Linked DNA regions of Canis lupus familiaris. The protein of the gene in region 1 purifies or fractionates together with the protein of each later gene. This does not show direct contact. Links are inferred from orthologs where the notes say so. Each region holds a gene or a part of one and is shown in the gene's direction. Other genes may lie near its edges. The genes, in order: ETV6 and LRP6.

Region 1 (3,823 bases):
CTGGCATTTTTATGGGATGATATTTGATTCTTTTCAGCCGTATTCCAATTGGTAGAGATTGTGGGGAAATTAAAATGTGTCTGCCATTTGATGGCAGGACAAAAACTGAATCCACATCTCAGTCCTCTGTTTTCCATTTGTAGTAAAGATGTCATGAGACAAGGAGTTGGCCAGGTGGGTTAAGACACGTTGCCGACCTCACTGCTTTGCCTAGCAACCAGAATTATCCTGCACCAGTTGCCTTAAAACTGAGCTAGATTCGGGGCAGCCCTGGTGGCGCAGCAGTTTAGCGCCACCTGCACCCCGAGGCGTGATCCTGGAGACCCTGGATCGAGTCCCACGTCGGGCTCTCTGCATGGAGCCTGCTTCTCCCTCTGCCTGTGTCACTGCCTCTCATTCTCTCTCTGTGTCTCTATGAATAAGTAAATAAAATCTTAAAAAAAAAAATGAGCTAGATTCTTCTCAGTTGTGCGATAGTGTAACACTGACTTCTCCAGGTGCTTTGTGGTGCTAGGGTTGGGGGTTCCCTGCTCTCTCCGTCTGGCTGGCAGGGGATAATAGAAGTGGCCGGCTGCTTCTGTCACCAGAATGGGGTTCAACTCCCAGAGTACGCGATGTCTGGGCTGCAAGAAGAGCACAGTTCGTCCTGTTCTAAAACACAGTAACTCACACATTCCGTTAATGTTTAGACACAGACAGTGGGCTGGGGGGTGGATCGGAGGCTACCCGTAGGAAGATTTATGGCCATTTTCATGTTAGTTTCTTGAAAGTGCCACATTTTATGCCAGTTCTTCTGCCATTCAGAGCAAAGGCTGGCTTTCACCACGATTGCACTACACAGAGTGAAACCTCGCCCTGGGAAGTCCTAAAACTTTACAAATACCTACCTGTTAACCAGCCTCTCTGGGAATAGAAATCACATCAGGAAGGGAGGCGGAGCACGGGCTTCAGAGCCGGGCAGAGGCTGCAGTCCTACGTGGGTCACTCTTGAGCTGTGCCCCCGGAGTAAATTACCAAACCCGGTAAGCCCCAGCTTCCTCGTCCATAAAATAGGAGTAGCAACAGCACCTGCCTCTCAGGGGGTCACCAGGGTCAAGTGTAGCGATGCTTGTGGAACACAAGCTCAGCGCCTGCCCCTAGCACCCAGTTAATGGCGTTGCTGTTGTGATTTTGTTGTGACCTTCATGACTTTCCCTTCACTCGCACTATCACTAATACAGTAATCCCGTCAAGGACACATTATTCCCATTTCAAATATGAGGAAAGAGAACTCAGAGAGATTTAAGAAGCTTGCCAAAGGTGACCTGACTCAATTCCCCCTTGTAAATATACTCCTTGGAAGGGTGTGTGTTTCTTTTCCTGGGAGGTGAATGTGTTGACTCTAAAATATTCCAGGCCTCGGTTAGACACTCCCCTCCCAGGTGGGCCGAGCCTCACCCAACAGAAGGCAGTCAGCGCACTGTGTGCCTGAGACCTGGAATTCAAAGCCCAGCCACCTTGGGCCTCCGAGGAGTAGAAAGGATGCAAGTAAAGTGCTAAGCGCATATATAGAATTCAGGGATTGATCATTCACTGCCAGGAGTTCTGGCTGGGGGCTGCCACGATCAACGGTGAACCCCTGGAAACCAGTGCCTCTTATTCTCATCTGGAGGCTGGTCCAGAAAGCACACCTGGATAGGACATGTCTGCCTCCGCCCACCTATCAAGGGAAGCTGGAGGGCAAACCACATACCGTTAGGGCACATCCAGAAAGCACTAGAACAAGGGAAAGGTGTGCAGCCTGTGTCTTCTCTTTTAATATGCCAACCCACCACCAAAAGCCAAGGAGGCCTAGCACAATGCCTGGCCTGTATTAACTCACTTAATAAACGCTTGTGGCCTGACCAGGTGATAGAACATTAGTCCTTCAAATGGGGAAAATTATTTTTTTTTTTTTGCCTTGAGTTCCTTTCTACCCTCATTTCATTATAAAAAAAACAATTTTAAAGAACTCCAAAATTAGCCGTAATGAGAAAATATCTGCCCTCTTGAAAACCACGCTAGCCACAACTCCCAGTCATCTGCAAACCACGTAGTTCTCTTTCCCGCAGCTGTGCACCCATCACACTTGTTTTTCTGCCGCTTGATAGCCTGCCCCAGTCTTCTCATCTTTGTGCGTAAAGCCTCCAACACCAGAGTGATCTTACAGGGCCACCAAGTATCCCACGCCGCTTGCCTGGAGCACTAGGGCTCTCTTCCCGCCCTTTGACTCTCTGACCCTGGCCTGGTTTTACCCCCTCTTTTGGCTTGCTCTCTTTCATGGGAACTCCACTCAAGTTCAAGTCATTGGTCATGACCTTGGTCAAAGGTCGCCCTTCTGCAGTACCATCTGCGGTCTCTCTGGGATCTGGTCTCCTCACTGTGAGATAAGAAAGTTGACCATCAGTCCACAGTAGGCTGAAGTGATTATTTGATGATTTTCTCATTCTGATTCTTGGTGCCTCAACAAGAAACCTAATTCTAAAGTGTTTTCTTGCCCTTTGCCTCTGTAGACTGTAGACTGCTTTGGGATTACGTCTATCAGTTGCTTTCTGACAGCCGGTACGAAAACTTCATCCGATGGGAGGACAAAGAATCCAAAATATTCCGGATAGTGGATCCCAATGGACTGGCTCGACTGTGGGGAAACCATAAGGTAAAAGGGCACCAGCTGTTTACTCTGCCAATGAGGGCCGAAGTAAAGCCCTTCTCTCTAGGTTGGAGGATAATTGCCTGGCTTCTGCCTCCTACATGTGCCCCTCATTATTTGGTTTATTCCTCATGGGGTGAGCAATTAGACAGTTGCAAAGAGAAGGAAATGATTAAAGATGCCACTTTCCATTTGTTACTTATGCCAGGTGCCACTTCACTTCACAACGTCTGGTCTGAAAGAGCTGCATTCAGAGCAGCCCTCCATCCCATCCCCTTGGCCTGGCCCTGACACTCACATGTCCTCAGGATCTAGGGTAACAGGGAAGCTCTGGGGAGCTCTGGGACTCATGAGGAAGCTGGGGAAGCATCACCTCTGTTCTGCTCAGTTAGAAACTCCCATGTCCACAGCAGCCCCTTTCTACATGGAAATGCTTACACTCGAACTCTGCAACATCCCCTTGAAAAGCAAACAGGCAAGAACTGTTTGCCCTATGCTTTTCTATGCTGGGAAGAGGAAATGGAACTTACAGGATATAATCTTTTATTTTTTTATTATTTTTTTTAAAGATTTTATTTATTTATTCATGAGAGACAGAGAGAGAGAGGCAGAGACATAGGCAGAGGAGAAGCAGACTCCCTGTGGGGAGTTGATGTGGGACTCGATTCCAGGACCCTGGGATCATGCCCTGAGCTGAAGGCAGACGCTCAACCATGAGCCACCAAGGTGCCCTGATATAATCTTTTACAGTTAGGAAAACTGTGAAAGCCCACAGATGTAAAAAGTACGTAAAACATCCTAAATGTCCGTTATGGATGACTGGATAAAGAAACAACAGTGTAACATACAGCGGAATATTACTCAGCCTTAAAGAGGAAAGAAAAAAAAAAAGAAAAAAAAAGAAGAAAAAAAAAATAAAAAATAAAGAGGAAAGAAATCCCATCTGTCACATGCTACAGCATGGAGGAATCTTGAGGACATTAAGCCAAGTGAAATAAGCCAATCACAGACAAATACTGCCTGCTTCCATTCACAGGAAGGATCTAAAGTGGGCAAATTCATTGAATCAAAAAGTGGAATGGTATTACCAGCGGCTGGGGAGCAGGGGCAAGGGGGATATACTAATCAATGGGCATAAGGTTTTCCCCATAAGCA
Region 2 (3,823 bases), about 240 kb from region 1:
GGAAGAAAGAACTCCTGACCAGAAAATCTGGAGAATAATCTTTTGTACTTCTAGATTGTTTTGGGCTTATTTGAGATAACTTGTGTAAAATTTGTCTAATTTGCAAATACCATGGGTATTGGAGCTAGAGTTGAATTCTAATGATCAGTAAAATCTATTAATTGAGTGAATAAATGAAGTAAATAAATATATTTTGGCTTGTATTGTATGGCCTTCTAAATTTCCTCATCTTGAAAATGGAGATAATACTTATCTTGCAGGGCTATTTTGAGGATTAAATGAGAAAATAAATGTATACAAAGTACTTAAGGCAATGCTTGCTAAGAAGTAGCAGCTATTATTACTTTAAATTTTGGGAGGATTCAGAGTTACAGTGGTAATAATGTGATAATGGTTATATACATTTTATAATGGATAAAGTTGTTGGGATATTTTCAGATTGACATGATGACATGGCATACTCTCAAGAACCTTCAGGAAGCTGACTACCAGTTATGAGTCTACAACATTCTGGTCATATCTTTTTTTTCACTTGATTACTAATAGATTACTAATAGATTTTGAAGGCAAAATCATTCTACTGTCTTACTGGAATAAATTTTTGATCCTTAAGAATTACAAAAATTTCTCCCTGGCTTTGATAGTAAAACTTGAGGTCACAGTTGAATTTATTAGAGATTGACATCAGGTTTTTTCTGTGCTTGTAAAATATGTGAATTAAGAAACTATACCTCTGGCTCTTCTGAATCCTCCCAACCAGCAAAAACCAAAACAAATACTCTTTCTGGATGGTGTTTTGTACTTAAGCCTTGTGATTCGGTTGTTACTGTTATTTTTGCAGACCATCAGCAGAGCCTTTATGAATGGCAGTGCACTGGAACATGTGGTAGAATTCGGCTTGGATTACCCAGAAGGCATGGCAGTAGACTGGCTCGGAAAGAACTTGTACTGGGCTGACACAGGAACGAATCGAATTGAGGTGTCAAAGCTAGACGGGCAGCACCGACAGGTTTTGGTGTGGAAAGACCTAGATAGTCCCAGAGCTCTTGCACTGGACCCTGCTGAAGGGTAAACAACTTTGATGCATGCATTTTTTGCAACTATACATGGCCTGGTTATGCATTATATCTTTGATGTCTTAAGTAGTGCTTATTTAGGACTCTAATAACTAAACCATAGGTAGTAGGCTTTATTTTAAAACCCATTAGTTGAGGGGCACCTGGGTGGCTCATTCAGTTAAGCGTCTGACTCTTGATTTTGGCTCACGTCATGATCTGAGGGTTGTGAGATCAAACCCCACTTTGGGCTCTGCGCTCAACATGGAGTCTGCTTGAGATTCTCTTTCTCTTTTCTCCCTCCCCCTCCCCCTGGTTGCACTTGTGCACTCACTGTCTCTCTCTAAAATAAACAGAATCTTTAAAACCCATTAGTGGAGATTTCACTGATTTAGAATTACTTATTAGCTAAATTTTACTTTTGTCATTATTAACATTAGGTAGAGAAAGATTAGTGAAATGGATTAGTGTTTTAAATTACCCGGCATACTTATATGCTAATAAACAGCCTTTCTGAAGATATCAAGTTTGCATTTGCTTGCATACTCTCTCAGGTTAAACCAGATTCCAAAACCCACTGAAATAATTCCATATACTAAGAATTAGTTGTATTTTAAAAAGCTCCATTTTAGAATATTCATTGATTCAAAATGGACAATTAGTTTGATCATGTTTAGAAGCTTAGAGAAACTTTGATATTAAATAGTAAACTTTTCAATAAATAAATAGTTGTTTATTTATAACATGACATTGTGTTTCAAGGATAAGTGATCCTCTGACATGATTTAGCAAGTTTTAGAAAGCCAACAGCTAAGAAATCTGAAATTTGAAGAATAATTCCACTTTCAAAAGCAGAAGTTAACAATGAGAACATATAAGCATATTTACCATATCTGTAGTTTAAAAAGTTTCTTTGAAATCACATTAATTGCATTATCAGCTAGTTACCATCTAGTTAGAAGGCCATAGCAAAGAAAGTTCTTTGTGCTGACATGTTGTGATTGGATTACGGTGATCTTGATTCCAAGCATGAGTTACCAGATAGATAACTTCAATAGTTGAGACTAAGGACTCTAGTTTATGGCAACTGACATTTCTCTCACAGTTGTTTCTCCTTGCTTCTTGTGTGCACATGCCTGTCACCTGACAAATGTGAATACAGAGTGAGCCCAGGACTAATTTTAATTTTCAGAAGTGTGTTCATGCATTGTTACCAAGTCAGCCATCAGCTGACAAGCTAATGAGTAAATGTCTGTACTCAGATACTTGATGAGAGTTGGCATGTGAAGTGCTTTCCTAGTCCCCATATTCAGAATGTCTCAGAACTAGTTACTAGTTTAATTGAAAAAGCCTTTAGCTAAGGATTAGTTTCTAGTTCTCACTCTGCCACGTGACTGAGTTGAAGAAATGAGATCATTCACATTTCTTTTATTGCTTTGGCCTCTTTACATCTGTAAAAAGCCTATACTATGGGGCTGCTCTAAGTATAATGTGGAAAACTTGAAAAAATAAAACAAAAGCAAGAGAGCGTTTTAAAATTTCACAGGGATTATAGTAGTAGTGTCACTGCCCAGCTGACTTGATAAAGGGTGATTCATTGCTTTTATACATATAGTATGTATCCTTACACTGTGTGACCAAATGCATTTCAAATTTTGCTTTTTAACTTCATTTAAAGGCTATTAAGTTTTACCTTTGATGTACTCCTGCAACTTGTTTTTGGGGAGAGTGATTATGCAAGTCAAAAAAGAAGTCTAAAAATTTGAAAACTCAAATTACTTGTGTTTGGAAAAATATAAAAAGAAAATATTCAGAAATGAAATCAGATTCTGAGCTTAGAGCTTTAATTTTTTGGTATCTTGAATATTAGATTTATAAATGCAAGAGCTGCAGTAAGGAAATCATTGGTTTGTTTCCAGTTTCTGGGTTTTGGATGGAACAAATTCATTGGAAAGACTAAAGAAAGCTGACTCACTTCCTTTTTAGGATATGAGAAAAAAAATATTTTGTTGAGGGTGCCAAAATAATTGAAAAAATTATAACCATGATTCTGTTTTATCAATTTCTTTGATTTAATGTATATTTTCTTTAGTTATTATGCATGAATATGACCCTTTCTCCCAAATAATCAAAAGTGAAATGCTAAATATCTGTTGTTTTGAATTTAGATTTATGTATTGGACTGAATGGGGTGGAAAACCTAAGATAGACAGAGCTGCCATGGATGGAAGTGAACGTACTACATTAGTTCCAAATGTGGGGCGGGCAAATGGCCTAACTATTGATTATGCTAAAAGGAGGCTTTATTGGACAGACCTGGACACTAACTTAATAGAATCTTCGAATATGCTTGGTAAGCTGTACTTCTTTTTATTCAGGCAGATAGTATGTTCTTTCTGTGTAAAAATCTGTGGCTGCTCTTTACCATTGGTTAGGACTATTAATAGAACATCATATGAATGTCTAGATTCTTCCTCTGTCTCTTATTGTGTCCTGTTTATTATTGTTAATAGTGGGCCAGGTACTTGGATTCGCATCTCTTTATTTTGTGGAAATTTTATTATTATTGGGCTTGTAATAGAATTTATAACTCCCTAGATATTCCTGAAGTGACTTTTTGTACTAGTAAAATAAGTATATTCATTTCCATCTTTTTATTGAAGGAAGAAGAAAAGTTCAACTTGTAGACCCTTATGGAGAAAAGTAAGACTGTAGTCAAAATAGACCATTTGTAGAAGTTTTAACAAACTCAGTGATTTATAGCAAGA

Evidence for each region.
Region 2: the proteins of ETV6 (region 1) and LRP6 purify together in Homo sapiens (affinity purification with mass spectrometry; 3 studies listed by BioGRID and IntAct, counting the BioPlex papers as one, with this or other methods). This does not show direct contact. The link is inferred for Canis lupus familiaris from reciprocal best matches to the Homo sapiens genes ETV6 and LRP6.

Annotation. Positions count from the first base shown.
Region 1 is NC_049248.1:11,816,585-11,820,407, forward strand, and holds part of ETV6 (transcription factor ETV6), read left to right. Parts: intron 1-2,531; coding exon 2,532-2,674; intron 2,675-3,823. UniProt on the Homo sapiens protein: Transcriptional repressor; binds to the DNA sequence 5'-CCGGAAGT-3'. Plays a role in hematopoiesis and malignant transformation.
Region 2 is NC_049248.1:12,055,322-12,059,144, reverse strand, and holds part of LRP6 (low-density lipoprotein receptor-related protein 6), read left to right. Parts: intron 1-841; coding exon 842-1,068; intron 1,069-3,223; coding exon 3,224-3,408; intron 3,409-3,823. UniProt on the Homo sapiens protein: Component of the Wnt-Fzd-LRP5-LRP6 complex that triggers beta-catenin signaling through inducing aggregation of receptor-ligand complexes into ribosome-sized signalosomes.